3 linked regions of the Drosophila melanogaster genome follow. The protein of the gene in region 2 interacts with the protein of the main gene of each other region in a pairwise test. Each region holds a gene or a part of one and is shown on either strand. Other genes may lie near its edges.

Evidence for each region. Proteins that work in one complex are often made in the same cells at the same time.
Region 1: the proteins of Cap-D2 (region 2) and CG13131 interact in a two-hybrid assay, tested with the Drosophila melanogaster proteins (one large-scale study listed by BioGRID).
Region 3: the proteins of Cap-D2 (region 2) and CG13502 interact in a two-hybrid assay, tested with the Drosophila melanogaster proteins (one large-scale study listed by BioGRID).

Annotation. Positions count from the first base shown.
Region 1 is NT_033779.5:10,012,693-10,019,110, reverse strand, and holds CG13131 (uncharacterized protein), read left to right. Parts: upstream 1-1,647; 5' UTR 1,648-1,779; coding exon 1,780-2,947; intron 2,948-3,001; coding exon 3,002-5,477; intron 5,478-5,530; coding exon 5,531-5,840; 3' UTR 5,841-5,884; downstream 5,885-6,418.
Region 2 is NT_033777.3:29,673,990-29,680,783, reverse strand, and holds Cap-D2 (CAP-D2 condensin subunit), read right to left. Parts: upstream 5,134-6,794; 5' UTR 5,055-5,133; coding exon 4,928-5,054; intron 4,851-4,927; coding exon 4,379-4,850; intron 4,319-4,378; coding exon 3,423-4,318; intron 3,363-3,422; coding exon 3,221-3,362; intron 3,166-3,220; coding exon 3,078-3,165; intron 3,024-3,077; coding exon 606-3,023; 3' UTR 527-605; downstream 1-526. Other genes in the region: CG7582 (uncharacterized protein), read left to right, coding at 1-293; Bub3, read left to right, coding at 5,476-5,667, 5,721-6,509; ppk19 (pickpocket 19), read right to left, coding at 6,561-6,794.
Region 3 is NT_033778.4:22,085,248-22,089,399, reverse strand, and holds CG13502 (uncharacterized protein), read left to right. Parts: upstream 1-1,978; 5' UTR 1,979-2,113; coding exon 2,114-2,671; intron 2,672-2,833; coding exon 2,834-3,508; 3' UTR 3,509-3,618; downstream 3,619-4,152.

The DNA.
Region 1 (6,418 bases), on a different chromosome or scaffold from region 2:
CAAAGAAAAATGCCGAAAATGAAATGACGCTAAAAGTATCGCAATAAAAACGCATTAAAATGCCTCACCAGGGAGTAAATAATTTCTGTTGCTCCAATCGCAGACATCGATTTGACTTTGTCGTCATGTACAGGGTAAGAAACGCTTTCCAAGATCAAGGACGAAATGTGATTATAAACCCAGAGGTATAATTAAAAAGTTTTTTATCTCAGAAATGTCAAAAAATTGTATATGCGAGGTTAAAGGTATCTTAAAATATGCTACGAGTATAGCACTATTTGAAACATCTTTTCAAGTGCTTTCAACATAAAGATGCAATAGTTTTGCAATGCATCAGTTATTGAAATGCAATAAGTTCGTATTTTTTTTTAAGTGTCCCTCGTAGTCGAATGTATTGAAATACAATCGATGCTGAACAATTAGGCGCCGATTCGGAGGGACTATAGTCTGTAGTCTGGGAATAATATTTTTATGGCCAGTGGCGCGCATAAATCCCGTCCAGCCGGCGTGTAATTCAAAATGGACAGAGGAACGTGCGACGGGAACTTGGTAATTCCCGGCAGGATATCGACTGGTTGCATAATTTATCGTCCTGCTTGATTTGAGTGCATAAAGTCGCTGCCCAACGCCTTGGCCTCAAACTCTCAAGTTTGCTCCTCAAAATCTGCTCAATGAGCCGAAGATGCAGAGCATTTTGTAAGGCGATGCGCTTTTAATGTGTTTATTGACTTGGCTTGGCCAACGGGTTGGCTCGATGATGGGCGGGAGATTAGGCCAATCCATCAAATGCTATAAAGTTAATTAAACAAGATGCTGCCGAAGGAGTCGAGAAATTGGGTCAAGCTGCATGCACCTTGCGCTTGCTAAATGCATTTTGCATATTTATTGCAGTAAAAATTGAAATAAATTCCAACTACGATTGAATGGCATAGTGAAGTGTGCTTGTCAATTATAAGTGTTAATACATATATTTGTAGATATGTTTGTGTGTGTGTGCTGTAATCCTTTTCCCCGAGCAGTAATTGCATATGAAACATGCATTTTCACTTAAAATGGCATGAAACTAATCTCCTTTTGCAGGAAGTGGGCGGGTATGCATACTATATTAAATAGTATTTTGCGAACTGTTGTTCTCGAAGGACGCTGTCTGGCTTTCAGCAAAATCTACTTTATTCGAACAACAGTGCAAAAAACTCAATAATACTCCATTGAATGCGTATATTAAAAATGCAGCAGAAACTTAATTAAATTTCCCAACTGAGTGAGTGGCTAGAAACACGTACAATCAGAGCCATTCGGCCACACAAACTTCAATTGCAAATTACAGAAGCCGCAAACAAAGACAATAGAAATTTTAATAATTCCAGAACATACAGCTTGAATGAAATTAATTAAGAATATAGTCGATTGTGAGTTCTGAAAGAATCAATCGGATTTAATGATTTAATAACAAGTTACTTTAAAGGCCGAAAAACTGCTGGTGCAAATGTATCAATTTTTTTAGCCTTTTAGCAGTTTTTTCGTCATTTTACCATCAATACTCACATAAAAAACCTAATTTTCGAAACATAAGCTCGAAATAGAGTTGACAAATATGTCTAAATATTTTAAGTACCCGTTAACAACGAACATATAGACTATATATTTAGGAATGTGTGATAAAACTAAAAGTTAAGAAAACATATTTGACGAAAATTGCCGGAATCTATGTGCCATTTCGTTGCTTGTTAAGTAAGTCGACCTGATTGGCCGTCTAAAAATCAAAATAGCTGGCTTTTGATGTTTCGCTTCTACAAGTTGTACTCGTTGTACATGAACAACATGACCAGTAGTGGAGTTGCATGGCCGCGGGAGTGGTGCCTGTGCGGAAAACTGCCGCGGGCGGTGCTCCACATCCCGGTGAACCATCGTCTGATCTGCCAGGTGTGCGGATTGGCCAGGCGCCCCCAGGCTGGACTCGATTCCTCCAGCGATAAGGATGCAGATCAGAGCACCGAGGAGCAGAAGACGATTATACCAGAGCCCAGCCACGTGGAGGAGCCCAAAAAAAGCCAAAAGACTCGGGTAAAGGTAACCATTAGGGGCAAGAAGCCGAAAGCCAAGAATTGTTGCCGGACAAATTGCCACAAGTGTGGTGGCTTGGCCAAAGCTGAAGTTGGCCAGGAAAGTACTGAAGCACCCAAAGAGATGAAGTGCAAACGGTACCCGGGGCGTCATGGCTTGCACTCGAAACCGAAGGGAATGATGAGTCGTCGACAGCTGGCGCCCAAAGCACCGCCACCTTCGACGCCGTCGTCATCTCCAACGCTATCGCCATTGCCTTCATCACCGCCATCGCCCACAGCACCACCACCACCACCACCACCTCCGCGTCAAGAATTGGAATCACCACGTTCGGAGATGCCAAGCCTGGTGGCCATGGCCCATAACGTTTTTAATCCAAAAAACAGCCCGCTACAGAACTACAACAATCTATTTGTCAGTAACTTTATACCCTTACAAAGTCCCATTACGGATACCTTCGGGGGAGCTATATCCAAGAGGAGCAGGAACAGCATTCGTCCACCACGCAGCCACAGGAGTCGCCCGCTGCCACCACTTTCCAAAGTCTTAACCAACATCTTGAGCAGCCAGAACTCGACGGATGACAGAGAGATGGGTGGTGGATTGAGTAGCTCCAATTGTAAGGACTCGCAATCGACCGATTCCGAGCTGGCTAGCCAGTTTTGTCCATTTGATCACTATGAAGGTCCATCCGAAGATGCTCTTGTCGTGAATAACGCTCGTTATATGCTTCATCGACCGAAATCACTGCACATCGAACCACGACAGGATTTGCGCAACAATCGCATTGAATCGTTGAACTTTCAGTTGAGCTCTACTAAGGACACAAAGAGTCCAATCGCTGACAATCTATCAGGCATCCTATTCATGGCGGATTCAGTTCGTAAAAATCTTAAGAAAACCATTGATAACATTGGAAACGAATGCCATATTTCAGGTAAAACCAGCCCAGCCAAGAACTTGGCCTCCAAACCGGCAGTTACTCAGCAGAACAATCGGGAAAATAAACCGGAAGCGTTGGAAGACTTCGAAAGATCTTCCATTTTAACCTCAATCATGGACAAAGTTTTCAGCTCACAGGAATCGAAAAGCTCAAATGGAAACTGCGATGATGACAAGATACCAGAATTGGAGGATATTAATAAGCCGATCAACGACATGTTCGTCGAGGACCCTGAATCGGTTTCTTTGAAAAGTAATGTATCAAATGAGCACAGTGTATTTTCTTCAAATAAAACAAACAACTATAATGATTATTCCAAGCCCGTTTCAAAAACACTAAGCATAAGCAATTCCATTTGGGAACGATTTTGTGATAACAAACCCAAATCGACATTATATAAGTGTGCTCGCTGCGGACAACAAAAGCATCGTGAAGATATAGTTGCTAAAATTAAAATAAAAGATAGTAGAATTCCAAAAAAATCCGATGCGAATCAAATATGGCTAAATAAAAAAATAGGATGCGCCATAAAGCAAAAGCTCAATAGCTTAAGATCCTTTTCTGGAGCACAGGAATGTAAAAAACACGAACACGAAGGGCAGAAATCCCTAAAACTAGCAGATCAAGGAGTAATTCCCGAGATTTTTAGAGAAACCCTACGTATGCAAAAACAAAAAGCTACGAATGACAAACCAAAAGAGGAAAATTTAAGACTGCAATCCATAAATACAAACATTCAAAGGAAAGCACAACGAATTTATCAGGATGATTCTTCGGAATCACAGACTCCAATAAAAGATCATAGCACTTCAAAATGTTTAAATCTACAAGAAAAAATAGATCATATCCCACCGAGGGATAACAATCCAGCCAAAGTAAATGATCAATCAAAGATCACTCCTTCCAAGATACACCACGAATGTCTTCAAAAACGACCCAGAATCGCACTTAAAGTTGTGAATTTAAACCAATCTCAAATATCGGATAATAACTTTCAATTACGTAGACATAAGGAGCCATCGTTCAACTGGGGAGTGATACAATTCTGCGAGACTGTATCTCATAGGAGTCTAGTTATCCCCAAAATACTGGTTCCTACTTATGTTGGTGAGTTGGTGAATATCGGTCAAGCCACGAAATGCTATATCAAGGAGAATATTCTTCCGGATGATCCGCCTTCGTCTCTCTTTGAGTTTCGCATCCCTGACATTAGTCCCAACGAGCTGCTATCCTATCGAAGTTCGGATAACATTAGCGGAAGCTGTACTCCAATACCTCATATAGCGAGTCCAAAGGAGCAACCTATAAACCACAAAGACCCGTGTCATTCTGTTGATCCATCTCCGCCAGAAAAATTCGAAAGTCGTAGCACTCTATACGAAAATCTTGAATTGTCGTTCACCACACGAAAAGCAGATAGTTTTAACCATCCCAATGACAAATTACCTGATTATGAAAATCAAAAGAGTAACAAATGCATGAAGGCAAACGAGAACAGAAAGTCCAAGTCCACAGAATTAACAGATGCTAATTTTAGCTCCTTAAGTGACAACAATATGAGCTATAAGATAGAATTAGATGGTTTAAGAAAAGAAGAGAACCCAATAAAAGAATTCAGTTTAAAGACTGACATTACGGCAGTTAGTAATACATTTACGAGATCTAAAGAAAATACAGAAAATTCAAATGATACATTTTTCCAGGAGAGCCGCATTACGTTACAAAAGTACAATCACTCAAAATTGAGCAATGCGATTAAAAAACAAATAGACAAATCCTTGCAACAGAAGATTAAAAAAATTATGACTAAACCGATAAAGTTGCTAAAATCGACTGATTCAGATTCAGTTGAAAAATTTGTGGAGCCATTTACAAACAAATTGAGCGCCTTCGATGAATATAATGCAAACTCTACACAAGAAAACTTAGAACTTGAACCAAATGTCATTTTGAATGAAGAAGAGGATATATCTCTTTCAAATTCCTTCACGGAATTAAGTTCAAGTCAAAAGCCATTACGTCTTATAGCCAACCTGCACTCCTCAAGTGACTCCGAACCAAAGTGTCTAATTGAAGAATCTAAGGTAGAAACTGATTCTGATGGAGCATCGGAACCGATGCTGACCTGTCGAACCACCGAGTATGCAGGATTGCCTCCTCTGAACTGGCAAGTAATCACAATGGGCTCAGCTCATCCAAAAAATATTATGCAGGATGATTTGGAGTCATCTCTGGTAGAAGAGTATTACTGTCCCATTCACATGTGCGGAAGCCTTATAAAGTCGAACACATTTTCTTCGCATATCCTGCAAGATCATCGAGTTTGGAAAACCAAAGATGCTCCACCGCAGGAAGATTACCATCAAGTAGTGGAAGGTTTACCAAAGCAGTTCTGCTTCGATGGCGATCTCCTCACGAAAGGAAACACTTTTGTGGCCCTTCTCTTGTACACCAGCTTAGCGAAGGAAAGGTTAGCTACTGAAAACAAAAATGATATATCTATTTACTAATTCTAACCCTTAGATCACATCCAATGCGGAATCATCCGCTGACCTTGCTAGCTGCTCCAAAAATGGCAAAGGATGATGCATTAGCCGGTGTTTTCTTCTGGCTGGTCGGTTGTCCATCGCGTGCCAAACTTCTTGCCAAGCTCACAGTCTACGATCCATTCGATCAAATTGGACGGAGTATGATCATAAGACCACGTGATTTATCTGAGAACCAAGATCCTCAAGAATTTGTAGTCAATTCGAAAGATCATTTGCTTATCAGCGTTCCACATAAGCAAAGGACTTTTCAAATAACTGTGGTCATAGATGAACCGCAAACTTAGTTATAAAGGATATCTATTTACTTAAAACTAAAATCTATAGACGTAAATTTTCATTTTTAATCCCTTTGATACCACGAGTTTAATTTTAAAGACAAATTGTATGTTGTATATTTTTTAATAAAACGTTCGAGCAAGAACTAAAAAACGCTCAAATATCTCTCACATCAGATCAGAATTGCCTAGCTTTATTTATATAATAGTTAATTGCGTGTTACACTACTAATTTCATTAAGTTGTTAGTTTGCTTTAATTACATGTAGAGTAAATATTCATGCACATAGAAACGTATGCGCTCACATCTACGTACGTACTCGCTATGATTATTATCAATTGCAATCGTTTCTTGCACCTGCCTAGTGCGTTCCACTGTATACATTTACAAACATAGGAATACAAATAGGTAAAATATAGGTAGTTTGTTTAACGGCTTAAGAACTTTTGCGAAAAAAAGATGTCCAACTGCATGGTGCATAACCAAATGTCTTTGTCTCACATAATATTCCGTTTAAAAATATTGTGTTTCATATGCAAGCCTACATCCAACAATAAAAAATATTGCAAAACCTCAAACCTAAGCT
Region 2 (6,794 bases):
TTCTCATCATCGGAGTGCCCATCTACTGTTTCCTGATCACCACAATGCTGTGGAGATCGCTGGCCCGCGCCGTGGACTCCAGGAACTTCCTCGCCGTGTTCTGTGCCATCGGAGCCATTCTGTTTGTGATCTCCGACGCCCTGATCGCGGTCACCATGTTCGTGGGCGTGCCCCTGCCCTGCGCCCGCCTCCAGATCATGATCACCTACTACGCCGCCCAGTTTGCCATTGCGCTGAGCACCGCGGACGACGGTCCTGCCCTCCAGCGCTCCCTTCGCAAGAAAATTAAGTGAAGCCAGTGCCCAGTGCTCATCTGTCGGAGGCCCAGAGACAACATGAACGCAACCACCAAACTTAGTACTTCCAAAGCGTCTAGAGTATTGCCATTTACGTGTGTTGGTTTCCCCATCCCAGTAGCTTAGTGCAACCAAATATTTGTTCCCTTTCTGATGGATGTGGAAACGGATCTTAGTAGTTTACTAGATGTTTGTTGACTTCAAAGTAATAAATATATCAATAATAGGTTCTATTAACTATTTTATTAAAAACCATCTTTGTACATCATTAAAAACCCGCTCAGATCGTAACTTAAGATGGAGCACGAACTAGTCGCTGCTGCTGGAACTGAAGCTCTCTTCTGAGGTGGAATCCCGGCGAGCACGTCTTCCGCGTCCTCGCACAGTATTGTTCCTGTTGGCCGCCGGCTTGCGACCACCCTTCTTTGTCCTTGGCGCCGCTCTGGTTCTGTTGCCCTGACCTTCTGGAGTGCTTTCTTGATCACCCTGGGCAGCGGTATCCGGGTTGACTTGCAGGCACTCGTTCAGTCGGTTCTCGAACTCGGTGACTACAGCTTTGAGCTCCGGCTTGGCCAACTTGTTGGTGTTGCTAATGATGAGCTTGAAGGACTGATAAACCTCGTCCACCTGGACCTTGTCCCTGTAGTGCTGCATATTGTCCATTAGCTTCTTCACAGCTCGCTCGTTGTAGGTGAGCAGGCCGAGGCAGTAGGCGATGTCGCGCCATTGACGCTCCACCCGCGTTACCGGGAAGCGCAGACACAGCTTCTCCACTAGCGTCTCAATCTGGCGATCCTTCTGGATGAGACCCAGGATATAGGACATGATAATGCGGTACTTGTCCTCATCCAGGTTGAGGTTTATGTCCCCCAAACGGGAGATGATATCTGGCAGGACGTTGTACAGAATGTTCGACTTGTTGGCTATCTCCTTGAAGAACTGCTTGGTGATATTGCGAATCTCCTCGTTGCCGTCCACAATGCAAAGTGCCATGTCGGCGATTTGACCCTTGACGCGTATCATCTCGTTGAGGATCAGATGAGATAGCATTTTGACGGCAGTTAGCCTTAACTCGGTGTTCGATTCGTGCAGCTGAGCGTAGAAGTGCCCCGTCCACGGCTCGATGATGTTTGGGAAACGGAAAGTGAGATCCGACAGCCCCACCACCGTGTTGCACTTGATTCGAATGTTCTTCGTTAGGTTGAGGATGTTCATCAAAAAGCTCATGTTGGACTCGCAGAAACGGGAGGAGACGGTCATGAGCCGGGCCAGAGCCAAAGTAGCGGCCTGTTGCAACGTGGGATCACCAAACTCACCTGGACGCTTGCAAATCTCTATGATAAATGGCGCCAGCTTGGAGAGCAGAGCATCCGGGTTGTAAAGCAGCATGTCCTCGCAGATGCCGTGGATTTCCTCGGCGATGTTGTCCTCTGCAGTCGCTCCCACCAGATCGTCGTCTGGCTCCTGCTGTGGTTCCGCTGCCACTCCGGACAGCCTCTTGCGCACCTCCATCGCTGACATATTAAGCGTAAGTCTGGCCGCATTATGTGAACTTCCCGCCTGCTGATTGCGGTTTTTACGCTCTTCAAGAGCCGTCAGCTCGTCGCGATACTTCATGTTATTATAGATATCCATGTCGAGAAAGATCATCTCCTTGATGGTCATGTAGCCGATGCAAAAGATTAAGCGGGAGACGAGATACACGGGAATCAAGGTGCCTTGCATCTGCGATTGGCTATCAGCTTGAGTCTGAGTGGGAGTAAGGGTCTGCGAATGCGGAATCTCCAAGGGCTGCGAGTCCGGAACAGTTTCCGTATCCGCTTTGTCTGGAGAGGGAACTATTGCAGCCGCTTCCTTGACCAGCCAGCTCTCATTGAATTGCTTGAGTAAAGCCGTCACCAGTTGCTGCGCAATCACATCCGGCGCCTGGCACATCCTATAGAAGTATTCAAAAACACTCATGGCCAGTGCGTCGAAGTCGTATAGACTTCTGTGGAAAAAGAAGTCGAGGAAGAGCCGCGTGATCTTTCCCACGAATTCTGCATCGCTGTTCTGACGCTTATAATACTTGGCAGTGTTGTTTGCATCGATTGAGTTGACCAGCAGCTGCAGACAGGAGGTAAATATCCGTGGATCCCGACGCACCCGCTCTCCGACGGCGATATCCTCGATGATGGCAGTGTTGGCCGAAACAATACTAGACTTCGATTGCGAGGCCATTATCAGGAGCTGGAGCGACAGGCGAGATTCGTTGGATGTAGTGCCCTCCAGTTTTAGCGTGAAGCGCTCAAAGAGCACCTGGATGACAGCAGCATCGATGTCGCCACCCAACACCCACTCGGTCATCAGCGACTCCAAGGCCGTGTAGTGACCATACTCGATTTCCGAAAGAAACTTCGACAGGTTCTGCACCACCTTAATGGCATGAGCGCGACCCGTTTGGTCCGTGGAGAACAGAACGCGCTTGTAGGCATCCGACACTGCATCTCGTTTCTCCTTGTCCGAAGACCAGACCAGTTGCAGCATTCTCTGCATTCCCGACTCCGTGCCGTGAATTCCGAACATGTACCCGGTGGTGAACAAGTCCACCGCCTCAAAAACATCCGTGTTTGTCTTGGACATGAGCATCTCGTGCAGTTTGGGGAAGGCTGAAGTCATCAAGACGGCAAAGTCAATGCTGTCTTTTAGGAACTGCACCGTTTTGATTTGCTGCAGCATTTCCTCGCTCTAAATTAAAAGATTTGGTTAGAAGGGAATATAACTTTCTAAGATTAAACATACGCTCTGTTTAAATCCAGCAGCCAGCAGGTGATATGTCTTTAGCAAGGCCAGCACATACACGCAATGCTCCTCGTGCTTCAGTAAGGAACTGGAAAGTAAATATATTTATGGTAAAACAAAACCATCTTTGATTAGCAACATACCTCATATTCTGATTTCCCGCCAAAAAGTCTACCTTTCGCACTAGAACAATAACATCCTTGTAGTTCTTTTCGCGCATCAGCGGAATGATCCGCTCCATCAAGGTCTCGTCGCTCTCCTCCTTGTCGAACTGCATATCGGGAACTGTAATATAACAATAAACTTTAATATATACGTCGAACTAGCGGAACTGCATGAACTCACACTCCGTAAGGTTCTCCTCTATGAAAGGCAGCAGTTCGGGCGCCAAGCTGCTAAACTCGTCGTTGAGCTTCTCCTCCTGCTTGCGCTCTTCCTCGAGTACCTCATTAAGTTTCTCCATTGCCTGCACCTCGTGTTCATGCTTGGCACGGAGTTCATCTATGGAAAGCTTACTGCTGTATGGATTGCTTTCCAGGGCGGATTTGATCAGATGCATGGCGGCACGCCGCACCAGCGAGCTCTTGTCTTCCAACCTTCCGATGGCTTCCTCCAGCACTCTGGTCAGGAAGTTAAGCGGAATGGCGTGCTGGGTTTTCAGGTGATGCCAGATACTGAGCACCTTGGAGCGCACGTGTGCAGAAATGTCTAGGATGTGGGCCATTAGGTGCTCGAGGAACTCATTGCGTACTTCCTTCAGTTCTTCGCTAAGATCCTCCGAGGTCAGTTCGCTAACCACGGTGTCGCCGATGATCTGGAGCACACAATTTCGCAGCGTGTGAGACTGACAATCTAGTAAATCTTCCGCCAGCTTTTCCAGGTGCGGTACGATCAGCGAAGGTGCTATGTTCGAGAACTCGGCCAGGAAATTGGAGAAGTGTTTGGACACCGAAGAGTCAGAACTGTCCATCCTTAGAGCATCCACAATGCTCTTGATTAGAATGGAGAAGACCGAAGAAATTCCGTACTCCTCGTGCAGAAGCAAAATTCCAGCTGCTACTGAATGGGCTGCATGCTCGGTACCGCGTAGGATCTGCAGAATGCGCACCGGGAAGGTCATGGCCTGGTTAAAGCGCTTGATCGATGTGCCCAAGATCTGGAAGATCGTGTCGAATACGTGTTTGTTGTCCATGCGAAGCGGCAAAAGTTCGATTGTTCGATAGCAGGGGTCGCAGAGCAAACTGGGGAAGATGGATACATTGCAGATCGAAGAAATAGGATGCTAAATGCTTTGCTCTTACTTTATAAAGTCCTCCTCGGCTACGGGCGGACTCCAGAGCTTCTCCAGCGGGCACTGCAGCACGTTGAAGAGCTGCACCAAGAACTTGCCGCGCTTAACCTCCCAGTTGGGAAACTGCTCCAATCCCTCCGATGGCTTGGCACGCTTCTTCTGAACATTGAGCTGCTGATCCCGCATGGCCTGCTGGACACTGTTGTTGATCTTCTTGACGGTGCTCACCTGGAGGAACAGCGTCATTTTGGTCAGGTTGAGGTAACTATTGCGCTGCTGGTTAGACATGGGCTCACTGGCCGTCAGCAGGGGCTGCAAGTCTTGGAACAGTTTCTCCACGGTCAGGTAGAGCAGGTCAAAGGACCTCATTAGATTCTGTGCAGAGGCGCCATCTGAACCGCGGGCCTCGATGATCGAGTAATACAAGTCGAAGTGCTCGAATATATAAAAAGGATCGCCCAAGTGCACTTTGCGCTTGCATTCTGGGAAGGAAACATGAAGATTGCGCGTCCGAAAACTGTACTCAATTTAAAAACCAACCGCGAAAACGGAAACTTACCTTGTAGTTTCGCGGGAATCTCCTGGGCGCCAAAAATCTCCTTCACGTAATACTGATCTCCGCTGGAGTTGATCAGATCAGATGCATTCAGGGGAAGGACGAACTGGAAGTCGTGCGATTCCTCCATGGCGGTTATTACTCCTATTTACCGCGAAATAATAATTGTATCTTCTGAATTGAGTGGCGTCGCTTATAGAGATGGGCAGATTCGCCGCCAAATCGATCGCTTGATATCGGTTATCGGTTACTGCTGACTGCAAGCTTACAATGCTCATAATGAGAGGGTGTATTTATCAGATAGATACTTACCACAAAAACTAAATTTATATTGGTTTAACAGGGGTTTGTAAAATTTTTTACATTATTAAAAGTGTACCTGTTTAGGGAGTCCCCTTGATGCAAATATGCAATGTATCGATAGTGATATCGAAATACTCGCATCTCTTCTCCAGACGCCGTGCAAATTCGGAGTTTGATTTGTTTTAAGCAGTTTCTGTTTGAATTTATTGTTTTATTATCCACAAGTTGCTAGCAGAAAACTTGACAAAATGCGTCCCCCAGAGTTCAAGCTTAACAATCCGCCGGAGGACCTGATCTCCGCTGTGAAATTCGGCCCCAAATCGAATCAATACATGGCGGCGTCTTCTTGGGACGGAACACTTAGATTCTATGATGTGCCGGCAAACCAGCTGCGTCAGAAATTCGTGCAGGATGCCCCTCTTCTCGACTGTGCCTTCATGGTGAGACTCCTTCGTACACATTAACAATCCCCTATTCAACCAACGATCCGCAGGACATAGTGCACGTGGTCAGTGGCTCCCTGGACAACCAGCTGCGTCTCTTTGATGTCAACACCCAGGCGGAAAGCATAATTGGTGCCCACGAGGAGCCCATCAGATGCGTGGAGCACGCCGAGTATGTCAATGGCATCCTCACGGGTAGCTGGGACAATACCGTGAAGCTGTGGGACATGCGGGAGAAGCGCTGCGTTGGAACCTTCGAACAGAACAACGGAAAGGTGTACTCCATGTCCGTGATCGACGAAAAGATCGTGGTGGCCACCTCCGACCGCAAGGTGCTCATCTGGGACCTTCGCAAGATGGACAGCTACATCATGAAGCGGGAGTCCTCGCTCAAGTACCAGACCCGCTGCATTCGTCTATTCCCCAACAAAGAAGGCTACGTGATGTCCTCCATCGAGGGACGGGTGGCAGTGGAGTACCTGGATCACGATCCTGAGGTGCAGCGCCGCAAGTTCGCTTTCAAGTGCCACCGGAATAGGGAGCAGAATATCGAACAGATCTACCCCGTTAATGCCTTGAGTTTCCACAATGTCTATCAGACGTTCGCCACTGGCGGATCCGATGGCATTGTGAACATTTGGGATGGCTTCAACAAGAAGCGCCTTTGTCAGTTCCACGAATACGATACCTCCATATCCACGCTCAACTTCAGCTCCGATGGCAGCGCCCTGGCCATCGGCTGCTCCTACTTGGACCAACTGCCAGAGACGCCGGCTACAGTGCCACATCCGGCTATCTATATACGCTATCCCACGGACCAGGAAACTAAACAGAAATAATGTTATATATACTTGTTTACGGCAAAGTTTTACATCATTTTTTAAAGTAAGCTACTTAGTATACTCTTTCAATTTTATGCGCGCATCTCTGATGAAACCCCACATCAGTTTTCCCAGCACAAATAAAAGCTCTATAAAACTCATGACGGAGGCCCCTATATACAGACTTATGATCCCGCCAAAGTTGGCCAGTAAATCTATATTGGTGTACTTGAGTTTCGTAATGATTTTGGTCATGACACGTTGGCCATAATAAACCTGGGCTTTTATCAATTGATCTGTCGA
Region 3 (4,152 bases), on a different chromosome or scaffold from region 2:
ACCAACCCAAATGGGTGGAAGAGGGGTTCTTTCGGTGGTGGTGCTGCCAAATGGGTTTCACCTGCTGCAAATCGATTGTCTGACTCCTTCTCCGTTGGCCTTCTCTTATCAGCCGGGCTCGGGTGCGTGACTCCCCGTCCGGAGTTGGGTTTTAATTTTGATGACTTCAATTAACTGCGTGTAAATGCGGTGAATCCGCCTTTTCAGCGATCCAAAGTCTACACAGAAAGAAGGGATTATGTAAAAAACAATTGTTTGTTTTATATTTTTTTCGAGTTTTATTATTGTTAAAGTGAAATAGAGTTCATGTAACATGTATAATTGACACTGCACATTATGTGATCTAATCACCATAAACAAATAATTTTCTGTTATTAAAGTCACAGCTGATGACAAAATGAATCAGCTAGTAGATGTTTCATAACAAAAACTAATATTTTGTGGTATCCAAAGGATATTGTGGCTTTTCAGAATGCTCAGAAGGGTTTGTTGAGATATTAATGAAACTTTATTGAAGTTTATTGCTGCTTGTCAGCGCATGTAAACTGGTATACAAAGTAAAGAAAAGCCGGAACCCCTGAGTTGCAGCTTGTGATGGGGTGCCTTTTCCATGGATTGGGGGTCTAGAAGCGAGCCAAGTTGGGTCAAATGCAAAGTGAAGGCACATAATTCAGTTGCTCAACGACAACCGTCGCGTTCAGACGTCAATTTTAGACTACGGAGTGAAGAAGTCACAGGCTTGAAGGGTGAAAAATGTGAAACTACTACGATACACCATCTCAATAAGCCACTATAACTACTTAACAATACCGAATTTAAAATGCCGCGCAAGAAACCGAAGGTCGATACTCTCGAGGAGATCGAGACCAATATTAAACTGCTATGCGATCAATCCAATAACCACATGAAGGTTCGGGCCTACGAGAAGGCTTTGTTTGGATACAACCAGGTGTGTTGGGAAACTTACTAGCCACAGTTAAGACTAGGCAGAATTATTTCCATCAAATAATAAAGTGCAATTGGGAATACCATCTCCGAATTGCACTATAAATAATGTTTGATAAACTTTACACAAAGTGAATCATTTAAATTAGACACAGTTGAGGATATTTGAAACGGGTTTTATCGCATTTAAAAAATATGTAATTAAGATAAAAGTAATCTATGTACTTTTATTTAATTTCATAATTTTCGAAAAGTACATAAAAACGAAGGCGGTGATATTTTATGTGTTTCATTTTCACTTTTAAGCATTTAATGCTTTGTTCGTGAAGAAGGATAATCACTTAGCGGGAAAGGACATCCGCTAAAAGCTCCTGAAAGCTTCGCACAGGTTTTAGTTCACAACAAAGGAGCACAGTTTGACATTCTTAACGTAGTTGAACAAGCACCTGTAGAGTAACACCATATAGAAACACTATAGAAAGGCTTTTTTTATAGCCAAGATTGTTCAAGTGTTTAATGATAAGTTTTAGTTTACATTAAGGTTTTTTTGTTACATTTTTTTATATTACTCATACGACACGTATGCCAATTTATTCCTCTATGCTAGCAAACAAAAAACGTATTGAGAAAAGATACCGTTGATAGTTTTAGTGTTATAAAGGAGCTACTTTAATATGCGTAATTTTAAGGAAATTAAAGTCCCCCTCAAAACATATCAAGAAAGTTACTCATACGCCCCGTAAGCCAGTCATGGTTAACAAAATCCCAACTCGATTCCTTAAGCATTAACCAAAAAATTAGTTTAAAATATGATAATCTCGAGGACCACTGAGAAAAGAGGATAGATCGGAGTGGATATGCATTCTCACCTTCTAATAGGGCGTCCCCAAGGTCGTGACCCACATGGAGGCCATTGTTCTTGGCATTCACACCGCCAAACGACACGACACCTGGTGCCTGACACCTGATATGTAGCACCTGGCACAGCACGAGTGGTTGTTTTGTTATCGATTGCTAACCCATTTGGTGGCGCCAGTTTCCTGGCAACAACCCATTATAGCGCCAATCAATTGGCTAGTGATTTGGTCAGAAGTTGAGTTTTTTGGATTACTCCAATCGTCGGACGTTGAAGATTCTTCCCAGCGATTGCCAAGGGTATTATAAGGATATGTCGAACGTGCTGAACACCATTCTTGCTGTGGACAAGGAGCAGGAACTGCTGCAAAGCTTCATACGCACCGGAGCAGCGGCTGAGGAGGAGTCACAGGATGAGACCAATCGGCGGTCCAAGGGTCGCTCCCACAAGCCTCCCATCTGGGAGAGGCGCGAGTCCACTGATCGGGGCGGACGCGGTGCTGGACGGGATGGAAAGCAGGGGGATGACGGAGGAGCTGGGGGAGGAGCAGGAGGCGACGCTGCGGGCGGCAAGCGGGGCAATCGCATTGAGGCCGAACTTAGGGCGGCACGCAAAAAGATCGAGGAGCAGATCGCCAAGAAGAAGAAGCCCAAGGAGAACTTCGTCGACTTCTACACGGACAAAGATCGGGCGGCAGCGGTCAGCGCTGGTGCATTTGACATCAAGCAGAGTCTCCAGATCAAGCAGAAGCAGGACCGCAACGAGGCACTGCTCATCCCGGACGAGGCGGACATCAGTTCGGTGATCGCACTGGGGCTCAAGGAGATCAAGAATGCCAATCCCGAGAACGCCATACACTTTTTTTGCAAGGTGCTCCTGGTTTCATTATTGGAACTGTTCAGATTTCAGAGTCATCTAGTTAAGCAGGTTTTCTCTTTTTAATAGAATCTATACCGCTGTTAAGTCCCGTTTAGTTTTCTAAGATCTGCCATAACATATTAAAAACTAGCTAACAAAACCTTAAAATTTCAGGCTCTTGAGCTGAATAGCACCGACATCAATGCTTTGATTTCGCGTAGCAAGTGCTACTTGTTGCTGGGCGAGGCTTCCAAGGCACTGCAGGATGCGGAGACGGCTCTTGGAGAGGACAAGAACAACATTCGGGCCATCTACCAGAAGGCTGAGTCGCTGTACTACCTCGGTCAGTTCGAGCAGAGCCTGATGTTCTTCCATCGCGGTCTGAGGGCTCGTCCGGAACTGGCTTTGTTTCGCCTGGGCGTTCAGAAAACGCAGGAGGCCATCGAGAACACCATCGGCAGCAAGCCGGGTCCACCAGGACCAACAGCATCTGTTCCCAAGAGCGGAAAGTCACGGAAGTCCGGCGAGGATACACCTAAATCCCAGGCAGCGGGAGCAACGGGGACCAGTGCCAGGACGCGGCAGAAACCCAGTCGAGCGGATCTGGAACGACGCAACGCCCGCAAGCTGCTGGGCGAACTGTGCGTGGACAAGGAGTACTTGGAGAAGTTGCTGCTCCATCCGGATTTGGTCCGCGCGGACACACACACGGAGAGCATCTCCGCGTACGCCCGCGAGGCGGTGGAGTTTCTCAACAAACGGCAGGAGTTCTGGCGCCAACAGCGTCCCTGCACGGCGCTGCCCAACCATAAGAACCTGCCCCATGACGCTCTGCCCAAATGGTTCTAGTCCATCCAGCTGCCCAATACTACTGACTTGTTCAGCTCCCGGTGTTAAGTTTCTGTTTGAATTGAGTTGGCTTGATAAGCTGGTATTGAATAAATAAATCAATTAATTACGAAAACTCTCAGGTAATTTTACTTGACTCTTGTATTGAGTTTTATTAACTTCCAATGCATTTTGCGAATATTCACTTGGAGCAGCGACTACGACGGTCCAACTTTTTTATTTTGTAGTATGCTACTTGGTTAATCTTAGGCGTAACTTCAACTTTTGAACAGAGCAATTGGAATTTCTCAATTACATTGATATATATTTGTAGTCAACTGAAACAGAAATCCGGATGTAGCCTCAAATTGACGGAATACAACGATAGTTTAACAATGTGGAATAATATGTAATTTATCTCAATAGTTGTTCAATAACAATGGATACATGTGTTTGGGTGTGTCGCTCGAATCGGAATCTTTTACAGAGTTCTATTGCTTCTTCAGTTTTTATAACTTTACTTCATAATTTGACTAGTACGGCTATAATTTATTTAAACATTACATTTATGCAGATTAGTGTAATACTTTGTCGCCCATATACTTCATTATATTCATTCTTCGCCCTCGGCAAATCCGGTGCAATTGGGTTGAGTACGTCTGGCC